2 linked regions of the Nothobranchius furzeri genome follow. The protein of the gene in region 1 interacts with the protein of each later gene in a pairwise test. Links are inferred from orthologs where the notes say so. Each region holds a gene or a part of one and is shown in the gene's direction. Other genes may lie near its edges.

What was found.
Region 2: the proteins of txlna (region 1) and transcription factor BTF3 homolog 4 interact in binary tests that used the Homo sapiens proteins (3 or more experiments, as listed by UniProt). The two-hybrid records come from large-scale screens. The link is inferred for Nothobranchius furzeri from reciprocal best matches to the Homo sapiens genes TXLNA and BTF3L4.

Annotation. Positions count from the first base shown.
Region 1 is NC_091751.1:3,229,647-3,237,245, forward strand, and holds the start of txlna (alpha-taxilin), read left to right. Parts: upstream 1-2,504; 5' UTR 2,505-2,517; coding exon 2,518-2,617; intron 2,618-3,017; coding exon 3,018-3,197; intron 3,198-6,725; coding exon 6,726-7,022; intron 7,023-7,105; coding exon 7,106-7,197; intron 7,198-7,352; coding exon 7,353-7,523; intron 7,524-7,599. UniProt on the Homo sapiens protein: May be involved in intracellular vesicle traffic and potentially in calcium-dependent exocytosis in neuroendocrine cells.
Region 2 is NC_091751.1:41,996,673-42,004,218, forward strand, and holds the start of transcription factor BTF3 homolog 4, read left to right. Parts: upstream 1-3,269; 5' UTR 3,270-3,507; intron 3,508-3,974; 5' UTR 3,975-3,980; coding exon 3,981-4,034; intron 4,035-6,412; coding exon 6,413-6,526; intron 6,527-6,804; coding exon 6,805-7,006; intron 7,007-7,546. Other genes in the region: txndc12 (thioredoxin domain-containing protein 12), read right to left, coding at 625-708, 994-1,063, 1,156-1,229, 1,592-1,644, 1,830-1,890, 2,807-2,906.

The DNA of each region.
Region 1 (7,599 bases):
CCGGTCATACAGGGACCTAACAGCCTGTATTAGAGGGCCTGGTACCCCATACTCCCGAAGGACCCCCACAGGGCCTCCCGAGGGACGCAGTCAAACGCCTTCTCCAAATCCACAAAACACATGTAGACTGGTTGGGCAAATTCCCACGCATCCTCCAGGACCCCCCTAAGGGTATAGAGCTGGTCCAGTGTTCCACGGCCAGAACGAAAACCACATTGCTCCTCCTGAATCTGAGGATCAACAATCCGACGGACCCTCCTCTCCAGAACCCCTGAATAGACCTTAGCAGGAAGGCTCAGGAGTGTGATCCTCCTGTAGTTGGAACACACCCTGCGGTCCCCATTTTTAAATAAGGGAACCACCACCCCAGTCTGCCAGTCCAGTGGAACTGCCCCCGATGTCCACACGATATCAGCCAACATAGCCCCACAACATCCAGAGCCTTAAGGAACTCGGAGCGGATCTCATCCACCCCTGGGGCCTTGCCACAGAGGAGCCTTTTAACCACCTCAGTGACCTCAGCACCAGAGATTTGAGAGCCCAACTCAAAGTCCCCAGACTCTGCTTCCTCGCTGGAAGACGTGTCGGTGGGATTGAGGAGGTCTTCGAAGTATTCTGCCCACTGATCCACAACGTCCTGAGTAGAGGTCAGCAGCACACCGTCCCCACTATAAATAGTGTTGGTAGTGCGCTGTTTTCAACCCCTGAGGCGCCGGATGGTGTACCAGAATCTCCTCGAAGCTGTACGGAAGTCTTGCTCCATGGTCTCACCGAACTCCTCCCACACCCGGGTTTTTGCCTTGGTGCCTGGTGTCCACCAGCGGGTTCGGGGGTTGCCACTACGACAGGCACCGACGATCCTGCGACCACAGCTCTAGTTGGCCGCCTTAACAATGGAAGCACGGAACAGGGTCCATTCAGACTCAAGGTCCCCCGCCTCCCCCGGAACATTTTGGAAGTTAGGAGGTGGGAATTGAAGCTCCTTCTGACAGGCGTTCCCAGCAGACCCTTGCAATACGTTTTGGCCTGCCTAGTCTTACCGGCATCCTCCCCCACCATCTGAGCCAACTCACCACCAGGTAGTGGTCAGTAGACAGCTCGGCCCCTCTCTTCACCCGAGTCAGATGAAACAACAACAAAGTCGATCATCGAGCTGCGGCCTAAGGTATCCTGTGCCAAGAGCACATATGGACACCTTTATGTCTGAACATGGTGTTCATTATGGACAATCCACAGAAGTCTAATAACAAAACACCACTCGAATTCAGATCAGGGGGGCTGTTCCTCCCAACCACACCTCTCCAGGTCTCACTGTCGTTGCCCACATGAGCGTTAAAGTCCCCCAGCAGAACGAGGGAGTCACCGGAAGGAGCACTCTCCAGCACCCCCTCCAAGGTCTCCAAAAAGGGTGGGTAGTCTAAACTGTAGTTTGGTGCATAAGCACAGACCACAGTCAGAACCCGTCCCCCCACACGTAGGCGGAGGGAGGCTACCCTCTCAGTCACCGGGGTAAACCCCAACGTACAGGCACCAAGATGGGGGCAACTAGTATGCCCACCCCTGCTCGGCGCCTCTCAGTGGGAGCAACTCCAGAGTGGTAGAGTGCCCAGCCCCTCTCAAGGAAACTGGTTCCAGAGCCAGAGCCATACGTTGAGGTGAGTCAGACTATAGCTAGTCGGAATCTCTCAACCTCACACACCAACTCAGGCTCCTTCCCCACCAGAGGTGACATTCCTTGTGCCAAGAGCCAGCTTCTGTAGCCGGGGATCAGACCGCCAAGGTCCCAGCCCTCGTCTGCCACCCGTCACACACTGCACCTGACCCCTTTGGCCCCTCCCACGAGTGGTGAGCCCATGGGAAGGGGAACCCACGTTTCCTCATCGGGCTGTGCCCGGCCGGGCTCCATGGGTGAAAACCCGGCCAGCAGGCGCTCGCCTACGTGGCCCACCTCTAGGCTTGGCTCCAGAGGGGGGCCCCAGTGACCCACGTCCGGGCGAGGGAACACGGTTTCCATTTATTTTATTCATCATAAGAGGTCTTTGGGCTGCTCTTTGTCCGATCCCTCACCTAGGACCTGTTTGCCATGGGTAACCCTACCAGAGGCATAAAGCCTCATTTAGCTCCTAGGATCATTGGGACACTCAAACCCCTCCACCACGGTAAGGTGGCAGCCCAGGGAGGAAGAGGGAACTACATTTATAAAATTTCAGTAGTTAGTACAAACACTTGCTGTAATTTTTTCTAAATAAAATGCATTTTTGTTAGTAGGTGAACTTGCTGTTTACTATTATTAAACCTTAAATTTTATATTAGCATAGGCCACATGTAAACCATAGTCTTACTAATTTACAAGACAGCTGTTCTGCAATGACAATAAATGTTTAATTGGTTTTTACCAGTTTTATCACTTTCTTGCTAGTATTTTTTTTTACATAGCAGAAAGAAGTTGGTGGCGGTAATGCACCATATCACCATTTGAAACCACCATTGAAAAGTCAAAGAAGAAGAATCAAAGTTATGACCGGAAGTTGTTTTTTTTTTCTAAGCCAGTCAGCTACACGCTGTTCAAGAAACCTGCAGCTCAGAAAAATTAGCCGTTTCCTCCTGGAGTCTTCAGGTAAACAAGTCTGTGTTAACCGTAGAGTCAGGGGAATGAGGTAACGTTTCGCGTCGCCATAGCTTTAGTAGTTTTCTGTTTTTTCTTTTATGGTACAAAGTAACACCGGTTGGGTGAAAGTAGTTCAAGACAATTTTAGCTGCGTGCGTAACTGCTAACGAGGGCTAGCCTGTGCCAGCTAATGTAATCTGGAAGCTAATGGAAACTGAAAATGGTCCGAAGTGAAAGTACACATTTGTTTTCCGTTTTGTACATAAACGCCATGTCTATGTATCCAGAAACGTGCTAATATTTTCGATTTTATGCGTGATTTTAAAGAACTTTATCGTCTGAACAGTTGGTGTATTTTATTGTCAAAGCCTTATTTAGACTCAGCGTTAGTTTCGTCTTTTATTCAAAGAGCTAAACATGAAAAATCAAGACACGGAAGAGTCTACCAGCCCGGGCAGCGAGGCTCCTCCACCTGCAGCTGGAGACACGGACGCTCCACTTCCACCTGCACCTGCTGAAGGCAGCAGCCCCAGAGAGATGGAGCCACAGGCTGGCCCTCCACCACAGGAACAGCAGGGGGAAAGCGGAGGTGAACTGCCTTTGGTTTGACTTTCTTACTCGTCCGTCACACTGTGTGAATTCTCAGTTTTAGAACAAATTAGATGAAACAGCACAAACCTAATTAATGGTTTGGTTGTCATCAGACTGAAGTGGAGAATCTTGTCAGTAATACCTGATGTCATCTGGTTTCAAGATTAACATACTAGAAGTCAAACTTTTATTGATGCAATCAAAGCTTTACTTGTACAATAAAATGGTCTTCATTCTTCACGTGTACTCAATCCATACATATCTAGATTATGTCATTTTTATTGTTATATGTCCTGATGCTGCCGACAAGTTATTTTATGCACTGATGTCATTAAACACAATCACACAGTTTAATAAACAAGAGTTTTTAAGGTTAAGAGATCCATAATAAATTAGTTTTGGGGTATTTTCTCATTACTGTAACGTTGTGTCAAGAACAAACTTACTTCAACATTTAAATAAAAGTAGGCCATCACGTCCTTGATGATATTGTGATAATTGTTTTAATGCCTCAAGTGCGATTCCTTTTAGAAGGCACATCATAAACAAATGAATCCCAACAGTTTTCCGCGTGACTGTGTGGGACACATACCATACCATACCATATTTATTTATTTATAAAGCACCATTTCAAAATAGCATGGCAGCTAACCAAAGTGCTGTACATAAAAAAAGCCAAATGCTTGACCAAGAACCACAATAAGAACAGGCAAAAAACATAAGAACAAAGCATAAATAGTCGGAGATAAAAATTCCTACTAAAAACCATAAAATAGAACAGTTAACAGCACTATAAAAATAAAATAATGCGACGAATAATAAAAACATTTGAAATGTCCCAAATAAACCGAAATAAAATACCAGATGGTGCGAGGTGCCAAAAGTGAGCAACTAAATCATAAAAATGGAATTAAAAACTCAAATCCGGTGCTAGATTGTCATGAAAAGTGTCACGGAGGCAAGGCAATGCTAAAGAAGTGCGTTTTCAGGGCCGACTTGAAACTGCTAACAGAGGGAGCCAGACGCACACGGAGGGGCAGGGAGTTCCAGAGTTTTGGGCTGAATAAGAGAAGGCACGCTCCCCCCGTGATTTGTACCAAACCTTCGGAACAACAAGCAGCAGATGATCTGCTGACCGAAGGGCACGGGTGGGAACATATGGGGTCAGCAGGTCCATCAGATAGGATGGGGATGGGCAGTACAAAGCCTTGTAAACATATAACAGGACCTTGAAGTTAATCCTAAATTAGACTGGGAGCCAGTGTAAATCTGCGAGGATGGGTGTGATGTGCATGCGTCTGTCGGTGTTGGTTAAAAATCTGGCCGCGGCATTTTGAACCTTCTGCAGTTTGCTTAAGGCTGAAGCATTAATCCCAATCAGGACAGAATTTGCGTAATCCAGACGTGAAGTAATGAAAGCATGAATGACTGACTCAAGATGCGGGCGTTTGAGGATTGACTTAAGACGAGTGATGCGGCGGAGTTGGAAAAAGCAGGACTTGACAGTAGCGTTGACTTGTGAAGACATTGAAAGGTCAGAGTCCAGTGTCACACCTAGGCTAGTGGCACCTGATTTGAGATTGAGTGGGAGAGTTGAGACATCTAAAGCACCATTCATGTTAGTGGGGCTAAAAAGTATGGCATCTGATTTGCTGTCATTTAACCGTAGGCAGTTTTGAGAAAGCCAGGATCTGACCTGGGAGAGGCATTCTGACATTATAGAAAATGAGTGCTGTTGGTTGATTTGAAGGTAGATCTGGCAATCATCTGCATAAAAGTGGTAGTTAACCCCGACGAGACTTGCTAAAATCTTACCAAGTGCTAGTATGTAAATTGAAAAGAGGAGAGGACCCAGGATGGAGCCCTGTGGTACTCCCCATGGAAGTGGGACATTGGGAGAAGAGCAGTCTCTAACATGAACACTAAAACACCGACCATTAAGGTACGACTTAAACCATTCCAGGGCAGTACCGGTCACACCCACCCAAAATTGGAGTCTGTGAAGTAGGATGCTGCGGTCAGGTCGAGTAAGAGTAACCGCACATGGGAGCCAGAGTCAGTCAGAATCAGGATGTCATTGAGTACCTGAATGTGTGCAGACTCTGTGCTGTAATTACGTCTAAAACCTGACTGGAATGGGTCAAGAAGCCCACTGTCATCTAGGTGAGAAGTAAGCTGCGTGAGAGCCAGTTTCTCAACTACTTTTGAGATGAATGGAAGTTTTGAGATTGGGCGATAACTGGCACAGTCAGACTGGTCAAGGCCTGGTTTCTTCAGTAGCGGCTGAACAACGGCATTTTTAAAAGCAGCTGGAAACACACCAGAGGAGAAGCTGGAATTGACACAACAGCAGGGGCCACCGCTGGAAGGACATCGCGCAGCAGTCTTGGAGGAAGGCTGTCCTCTGGAGAGCCTGAGGGCTTCATAGCCAAGATTAGATCAACCAGGGAAGAGGGTGTCACATGAGCAAAGCAAGAGAATGAGGGCGGACAGTGAGGTTCCACACAGGTAACCCAGCCTGAGTAAGAGAAGCTGTTCTAATTTCCTGGATTTTATGCAGGAAAAAGTTTTGAAACTCATTGCAAAGAGCCCCTGTAGAGGGACAAGAGTTGGGAGATTCTCTAAGCGATAGTACAGAGGTGAGGACACTGTACAGTTTCTTCTGGTCGTTTTTATGCCTAGTGATTATATTTGCAAAATATCTGTTTCTAGCTGTGCGGACAGCTTTCTGATAGCGGGTCAAAGGATCCTTGAATGACTGGTAGGAGATTTGCAGCTTGTCCTTCCGCCACCGGCGTTCGCAGACCCTACATTGGCGTCTTAGGGCACGAGTCTCCTCATTGAGCCAAGGGTCTGCCACAGTTTTTTATGCCTGGATCTTAGAGGAGCGACTGCATTTAAAACAGTTGAGCAGGTAGAGTTGAAAGAGGTCAGCAGCTCCTACACAGGTGGAATCAGGTTGGGAAGTGCATAGAGTCACAGCTAGGCTAGATGCTAGTAGATTGGTGGTGAAAAGGGGAAATTATTCTTGTGAGGTGTTGATTATGTTGCCTAGTGGATGGAGGTGTCAAGCCACAGATATTAAAAATAATAATAGAATGATCAGAGATACATGCAGAGTCAAAAGTCAGATCCGAGATACAGATCCCAAATGACAAAACCAAGTCTAAAACGTGCGATCCTGAATGGGTGGGTGACTGGACCTGTTGCTGGAGACCAAAACAATCTAAAATGTCTAAAAAGCCACCAACAAGAGGTTTGTCAGGGCAGCAAACATGTATATTAAAATCACCAAGCATAATCCCACGGTCATATTTTGGAAGAAAGTCTGTTAAAAGATCAGAAAATTCCGATAGAAAGTTGGAATTGTAGTTCGGTGGGCGACAGCAGAGAATAAACAGCAGCGGAGGACTGAAGTCCACCTCATAAGCCATAATAGTAAGTTTTTTAGTCACAAACTAAATCCCCTTTCATGCAACGTGTTCCAGGAAGTTTCTGAAATCCTATTTGAATGTTTTTCTGGTAGAAACTCTGCCTGGGTCAGCGTTAGCGCCCCCGGCTGCAGCAGCGCCCCTGTCCCAGCGCGACATGGCTGAGGAGCTGAGCCGGCAGCTGGAGGACATCCTCAGCACGTACTGCAGTGAAACCATTTCAGACGAAGCCAGTGCCTTGCTCAACGGTCAGTCTCACAGCCCAGTTTTCAACGGGCTGATGTGTGAGAAGGATGGAGACAACCCAAAGGCAGAAAAAGTCAACGGGGGTCACAGCGGTGCTGAGAAAGAGCAGAAGAAGAGTCAAGACAAGAAGAAAGTGAAGGGCCTGGGTGAGGAACTGAACTGTGTTAAATGTTCTGTAGGCCCGTTATTTTCCTTCACCTAACAGCTTCTGTTGTCTTGATCCAATCAGGCAAAGAGATCACCGTTCTCATGCAGACGTTAAACACGCTAAGCACGCCGGAGGAAAAGCTGGCAGGTCTCTGCAAGAAGTACGCCGACCTGGTGAGTACGCTTCTGTCCTGTGTGCGTCTCCGTGCTGCATTTCTGCTGTCAAGTGCAACTGACAGCAGGTTCACCACAACTTGTACCATCTTGTACGTGATCCTCGCTGTTCTAAAGGAAGAAGCCATGTTTGACCGCATGTGTAATGTTCTCAGCTGGAAGAGCATCGTAACTCTCAGAAACAGATGAGGGTGCTGCAGAAGAAGCAGAGTCAGCTGGTGCAGGAGAAGGACAACCTGAGGAACGAACACAGCAAAGCCATCTTGGCCCGCAGCAAACTGGAGAGTCTCTGCAGGGAACTGCAGAGACACAACCGCACCCTCAAGGTAGCGAGTGCTCCACCTCTGTGCAGGTGCAGCTGCTGCGTGTCATGTTTACGTTTTCATGTCTGCAGCAGCTTTT
Region 2 (7,546 bases), about 39 Mb from region 1:
CACTGACCTTTAGACATCTTTCAAGACTTCTAATTTTAGTATTTTATGACATTTATCAAACATTTTAGGGCAGTACTGGCACTTCTATGCGTCAAGTTAAAAACAGGTTAAATCAATCCTTTTTTTTGTATCTGTTGTTCTTATTGAATTTGTATATTTGACTTTTTATGGTGTATTAATACTGTTGCTACTTTTGCGTATTTGTTTTATGGGACGACGGATGGAAATAGGCATTTTTGCTAAATCTGGGGTAATTACGTTCATTAATAGGAACAGTCCCATTCAAATAATCAACAGTTTTAAATAGAATCTTTAGGCTCCTTGCTACTGACAACACCATACAAAGACACCATTTGTTTTAATTTCTCGCGTTACAACATCAATAAGGTGATTTCCAAACAGATACCAACTGTAAACTTGCTGGATTTCTATTTTTTCTTACTTTAGAACACTAAATCATCTTTTGGTTTTCCTACAGTGTTTTCATGACACCATCCTTGCTGGGATCATCCTAAAAATTGCCAGTGTCCATATAAAAAGAATGAAATTGAAAGATTTTAGTTTCTCTTCCTTAAGAAAAAGTGGAAATAGTTTGAGACATTTGCACAGAACGTAACCCCCTACCCTGCTCTGCTGTGCTGTAGAAGTACTTGTAGTTGGGATTCCCATTTTTGTTGCTGATTTCTGGATGGACTTTGCCTCTCGGATCTGTAAGTGGAACAAACAGGTTTTTTAGTAGTATGGTGCACGTTTATTGATGCTCCTTGAGTGTATGCAGGCTTTTAAATGTGATCAGCAGGGCAAAAGGGACCAGCAGCAAATTCCCAGGGAGCTGTCCCACCGATGGGATTCCTGTCAGGACATGTTTAAAGGCCCCGGTGTGATCCCGCTCCAAGAGCTGCTCAGGCTCTGCTATAGTATGTCGCTTCTTGAAGAGCCACTGCTTTTTTATCGTAAAGATCTCAATCGGGTTTTATGCAAATGAGTTCATACCGAGGAAAAGAATCCGAGGAATGTATCCACCGTCTGGGCTGAAGGCTTCATCCTTGGGCTCCTCTTCATCCTGTCATAAACAGTTACAACTTTAACTACCTGATGCATGACTGCTGCTTTAAGGAAAATGAAAACAAAATTAAACCAATTGCTGTTTCTCACCTCCACATTCACCATTACAAAGTTGTGTGCCAGTTCAGAGATTTCCTTGGATTCAGCAAATTTGGGCTTCAGGGCTGATTTGTAACAAATAAGAAAAGAAAGTTATTTAAAAATGTGACTCTTCTTATCTCTACTTGATAGTTTTAGAGTAAAAACTTTGAACATTCTGAAAAGAAGCCTTTCACAGAGCGAAAGCCGGTATGGGCCATTGCCTTCCTTGTTTTTGAGGAAAATCTGAGCTAAATGACAACTTCCTGGAAGTACTTCTGTGTTTTGGGATTGGCAAAAAAAAAAACTAAAACCAGATGGAAGTAACTCCAAGATCAAACGCCTCACAAGTCGGACCAACTTCACTGTTGCTTGTATTATTTATGAGTGCCAGTGGACACCAGAGTTTTGTCTGGCATTCCCAGAAAAAGAAACAGTAAGTAAATACCTTTGCAGGCTCCACACCAGCTCTTGTGGATGATGAGCATGATCGGCAGCCCGCTGTCAATTCACCAACATGGACACATGCATCAAAGTCAGTCAGAACAGTAAATATACAACGTAGACTTTCTTTATATAAACCGGAAATGCAAGATTTTTAAAAGGAAGGGAGTTGGGACCCAAATGAAAATGTTTCTTGTTCCTCCAGATAATATTTACACAAGAGGCTTCAAACAGGAAGCTACCTGGCTTCAGCTTCCTTCTTCCCATCTTCCAGCGTCCTCCAGTGGATATTGTCCCCAAATCCTGCAGGGTTCATGAGCACAACAGCATTGTGTAACTGGAGTTAAATTTCCACACAAGGGTGGGTCTGGCCTAAATACAGAATCAATACAAAGAACTGGGACAAATAACTAATATAACTGGTATGTTATGTTAAGGCTAAACTTTTAAGTAAAATAAAATCAATTATTTTAAGAATTGAACGAGAAACTTAATGGTTACTTTCTGTTTTGGTGGAGATAATTATTAATTTAATCAAATTGAATCGGAATTAAACAATACAGGTTTAACAGACCTAAAGTATTGTTTTATTTTTGCTTTAAGTCAAATGAGGTGTTTGTAGAAGAAGAAGTATCATTTCTATAGCGCCTCTCAAGATAAAAATCACGAGGCGCTTCACAAAAACAAAAAATGTAAAAATATAAAAAATAATTTAGAAAATGTTTAAAAATATATTTAAAATGAGCAAAAAATAGACAATTGTGATTAAAAAATGTAAAGAAAGAAAGAAAGTGAACAGGAAAGAGGGGAATCAGTGGACGAGGAAGGTGAAATAGGTAGGGAGAGCAGAATAAAGAGAGTGGTGAAGAAGAAGTTATACAAAAGCCAGCTTGAACAGGTGAGTTTGAAAGCTGCTTTTTAAAGGAGACCACTGAGTCCACTGATCTCAGGCTCAGGGGGTAGTCTTGTAGAATTAACTTTTTCGTGTAAGATTTATTAAAATGCATAAAATACATTTTCAAGAAATAAAGCATGAGTGTCTGGAAGTGAAACAAGTTAGTGACACTAGACACAACACGCCTGTTTATTAGTCTTCAAGGACGCACACAATGTGATCCGGGATGCTGACAAAGAACAGCAGCTCTCATTTCTACCACACTTTCAATGAAGCTGCTCCAGCCTGCTTAAAAAACTTATTTTCTCCTATATATGAACTCACCTCTCCCACTGGCGGCTTCCGCAACCACATCAAAACACGAAAAAGACAATAAAACCTGGAAAAAGGAGAAAGCAGCGACATTTACTACAGACAGTTGCATGTTTATTGCCTTTCTTTCCCACAACTGCGGCTAGCAGGCAATGGTAGTAATGGAAAGCTCAATAGTCAGTGACCCGGATGTGCAACCGCAACATTTCACAATAAAGGTTTTGTCTCGGAATAAAAATCTTAACAGCGCGCATGCTAGCCATGGTAGCGCGCGCGTGTGTCTCGCTTGCTATTGGCCACCAGCTTTTTTTTTTCCCATTTAGAGACGCGTTCACGTGACATTACATCTACACAACCGCGTGCTCTTCAATGCAGTGTTATGTCAAGCTAGACAAACAATGTTGGTATAAAACCGGAAATGACGACGAAAATTGCAAAAAATAAGTTAACCAAAGGAAAGCAGAAAGTTGTAAGTAATTAAGTTTTTGTTATTAAATCTTTGCTATGTATATATTAAATTTATTTCGTTAGTAAAATAGCATTTTTCCCCAAATTTGTGTAAAGTAATTACAATTTCTGCACGTGGATGAGATTTATTTGGCAAAATAATCACCGGAAGTTGTATGTTAGACTACTAATTTGACTGGTGTCTAATCCGTCTTGCTCCGTTCCTAGCAAACACAGTTCAACGGGCTGTTAATTCACAATCAGAGGTAAATATACCGTTTAAATTAGCGCTAAATATTTTATTTGATGTTGTGAAAGCCGTATCTTTTGGTGTGGCTCAGGCTTTAAATAGATAGTCAAAGTTATTTCACGGCATTATTTTACCGTTAGCGTTAGCTCAGTCTACCTCGATATTTCTCAACTAGCTAGCTTCAGTTAAGCACCAACGTAAGTTTAAAATAACTCATTAATTAATTAAATTAATTTCTTTATTTTGCTTTGTTTAAATTAATTTCTTTGATTTGATGGGGTTCATGTGAGTAAAAATGCTAACTGGCTTGTCTAAATTCTGCTAACCTGCTGCTAAGGTGTGAAGAAAGGGCTCTTGCCCAACACACTGCTTAGCTAGCATTCTTGTGTCTGAACGGCTAGCTGGTTGGGCGGTGTAAACTTGTATATTTGGGTTTTTAACGAGGATTTAATTTTTATTTTATTTGTTTTATTAAACCAACAGAACATTATGAATCAAGAGAAGCTGGCCAAACTTCAAGCTCAGGTCCGGATAGGAGGAAAGGTACAATTTAAAGCTTGACTTTTTGTTGTAGTTCCAGATGTGATGACAAATGTTTAGTAGTACTTGATTAAAATTAGTCGGACATTTTATTTTAAGAAGTTTAAAGGTATTTGGAGTCGGCCAAATCTTTTCTACTGACTTCAGCATTCTCTTTGTTAGGTGAAGCTCTGGCCCCTGCATCTGTGACCTTTGTGGCTTTGTGGCATTAACCGTCAGGTCTTCAGCCACACACTAGATGGCATTATTTTTAATTTTGTTGGGAAAAGTTCTTCCGGCTCCAGCAGCCACATAACATTTTCTACAATAAAAAAAATACTATCAATTAAAAATATAGTCCTTCCCTGGCCTTCCTTTTGCGACTAATGTCCTTATTGTTATTAATTTCTACATTAAATACGTGAAACCGTGTAAAAATCAGGGTAGTGCAGAGAGCTTTGAAGGGGCGAGCGCTCAAAGTTAAAAAGGGGGCACTTATAGAACAAAACTTTTAAACAGATTCATGATCCAACAAGTTTCAAGATTCAGATATTCAGAAATGAACGAAATTGAACTACAGAACCTCTGCACGGACAAAACGTCAAAAACACTAAATCAAAATACTTCAATAAATGGGACACATCCTGGCTGCAAAGCATTGCACCTTAAAATACAAAATTTTGTTTTTACTTGTGTTTATGTAGACAGATAAACTTGTTATGATATGTAGATAAATATGTAGATACATAAACTTGTTTATATTCAGTACAAGTTACATAGATTTTTTTCTTTGCTTCCGTTTGTTGAAAAATGAGAAAAGCCCCTTGAGAAAATAATCGTGAATTAAATCGCAATTGCAATATTGAAGAAAAAAATCGCTATTAGATTATTTTCCAAAATCGTTCAGCCCTAGAAGGATACAAATTTCTATCTCAGCCAGCTGGGGGTGTTGTCAGTTGTGCTCGGTTTGCAGAGTCTGCGCCAGCTAATGCTGCAGCGCAGGTACTGAGATACATATCAGAGCAGCATATATGCAATTGATGCACATTCGTGCACACGCACATTCATCTAAACCTCCGCTATGTTCTGAAGAGCTATCAGTTCAGCATACAGATGGCAAAGTCACACTGTTGTTAAAAACAAACTGTATGATCCGACTGGTAAAATGAGCATATTAGTGTGTCATACGATTGATAAAACAAAATGTGTGGTGATCTGATGGCTAAAATGGCTTATTAGGATGTCATGCAGTTACTAAAACAAAGCTTATGTTGATCAGACTGATAGGACCATCCATCAGTGTCATGCAGTTGTTCTACACAAAGTATATGATGATCTGATGGGTAAACTGGCACATCAAAGTGCCATACAGCTCAAAAAAGGCATGATTTGACAGACGTGTTGTCAGGTGGGCATATGCTGGGGTTGAGCAATATATCAAAAATGTATCGTTATTGAACTGTCTGACACTAGTTGATATTGTTTTTTCCATGTAAATGAATTTGATAACAAAAAAAATGAAAAGATGTGTGTAGGTTGGCCACGTTCATGTCCCTTTAAGAAGCTGTACCACCTCGAGTCATGTGACGTGACTCGCATAATACACGTGACAGCCCCCATCTAGTGGACAACTTTCTGTGTATACATGTAGTTATCGTCCATTTATCGAGGTGAACGCCTCACTATACTGTGATATTGATTTTAGGCCACATCGTCTAACTCATTATGCTGGAATATACACATATATTTTGAAGAATGGGGAAAAGCTGTGCTTTAAGAGCAAGTCACCACCAAATCAACTTCTTTTTTGCTGATAAAATATATAAATGAGTGTCTAACCATGCTGTAGACATGTGTAGTCAATAATTTGGCACTTTAGTGCATTTTCATTCATTTAAATATTCTGCCTGAAACTGTCAGTGTTGCGCTGTCGTCAGGTAAAAACTCTGCACTACATTTGATTTTAAATCTGCTATTGCTACTGGCTAAGAGGTACACAATGACATTAGCTGGTACCATATGATGTCACAATGCTGTTGGGAGCATGTTTGTGTGCATTTGTTTGCAGCTCCGCCCTCTTGTCTGTCAGGCAACAGCATTTGTTGCATTTTTCACACATGAAGTGGGAGTAAGTTTGTTTCTTGTAGGGGGTGACTTGGTCTTTAAAAAAGCTTTTATGCCCAAATTATATATGAAAAATCTGTGTGGCAATCTTAAGGGAGACTGTGGTTTTAGCTAAATGCAGAATTTATCAGTTTTTGCCATTTTATGAGTTAAATGAACCATTCTTACAACATGTAATGTGATGTCAGAAATGTATGACTGAGAATCTTAATCACACCGGATATGGAAACCTGTTAGATTTAATGTCCTGGTTCAGTATGCATTTGATCTCCTCCTAGGGGACCGCACGCAGGAAGAAAAAGGTTGTTCACAAAACGGCGACAGCTGATGACAAAAAGCTGCAGGGCTCGCTGAAGAAACTGGCAGTGAACAACATTGCTGGGATAGAAGAGGTGAGACATCAAAGGAACATGGATGACACCATCGTGGTTTTTTAAATATATTTTTGTCTTTGAAAGTTGAATCTTTTATCAGTGATGTGCCATGAGGCATAAAACAGGATGGAAGCCTGAGTTAAGGGTTCTCCCCAAGATCTGGCTTATTTTTAGAAAGCTCTCAGCGGCTACACCTACCTCAAAATGTTTGAGAATACAAACAAAAAAAAAAACATACAGATGTGGGATTTTTGCATTGACTTCTCTCATCCATCCCGTTTTCCCCACCCTTAAAGGTGAATATGATAAAAGACGATGGGACGGTAATTCACTTCAACAACCCCAAAGTTCAGGCGTCTCTGTCTGCCAACACCTTTGCCATCACGGGCCACGCTGAGACCAAACAGCTGACGGAGATGCTGCCGGGCATCCTGAGCCAGCTGGGAGCTGACAGCCTCAGCAGTCTGCGCAAGCTGGCCGAGCAGTTCCCTCGACAATGTGAGCACACGCAAACCGCATGTGAACTGTGTCAAATTTCAGCTTTGAAGTCACTCAGGAGGATTTTCTGTCAAATGAACGACTGAAAGCAAAAGCTTTATCACCACCTGTAGGACTGGAAAGAAATGGTAAACCCATAAGTTGTAAACAGTTGCAGATGACCCAGAATTGGCCTCACAGCCAGTTTTCTACACACAGGAGCCATGTTGGATCATTAGTACTGTTGAATGTGAGTCAGGGACCCACCCTGTCCTGCCGGTCATTGACTTACTCAACCTAGACATGGAGGCTTTTCCTGTTTAACAGGAATCGCGTCTTCTCTGCTGTCCCCCGATGTGTCTCTGAAGACACGTGGACATCTGAGTCCTGACCCGAGGAACCGGTTCTTGTTAGTTTGTGATAAGTGTACTGTTACTCTTTCACGGTTAAATAAAAAAACACGTGAATTTAAATCAATTGGACACAAAATATATATATATACATTTGATGCGATATGCATTTGGATTACTTACATTACTTTGATCTTAATTCCCACTTTTG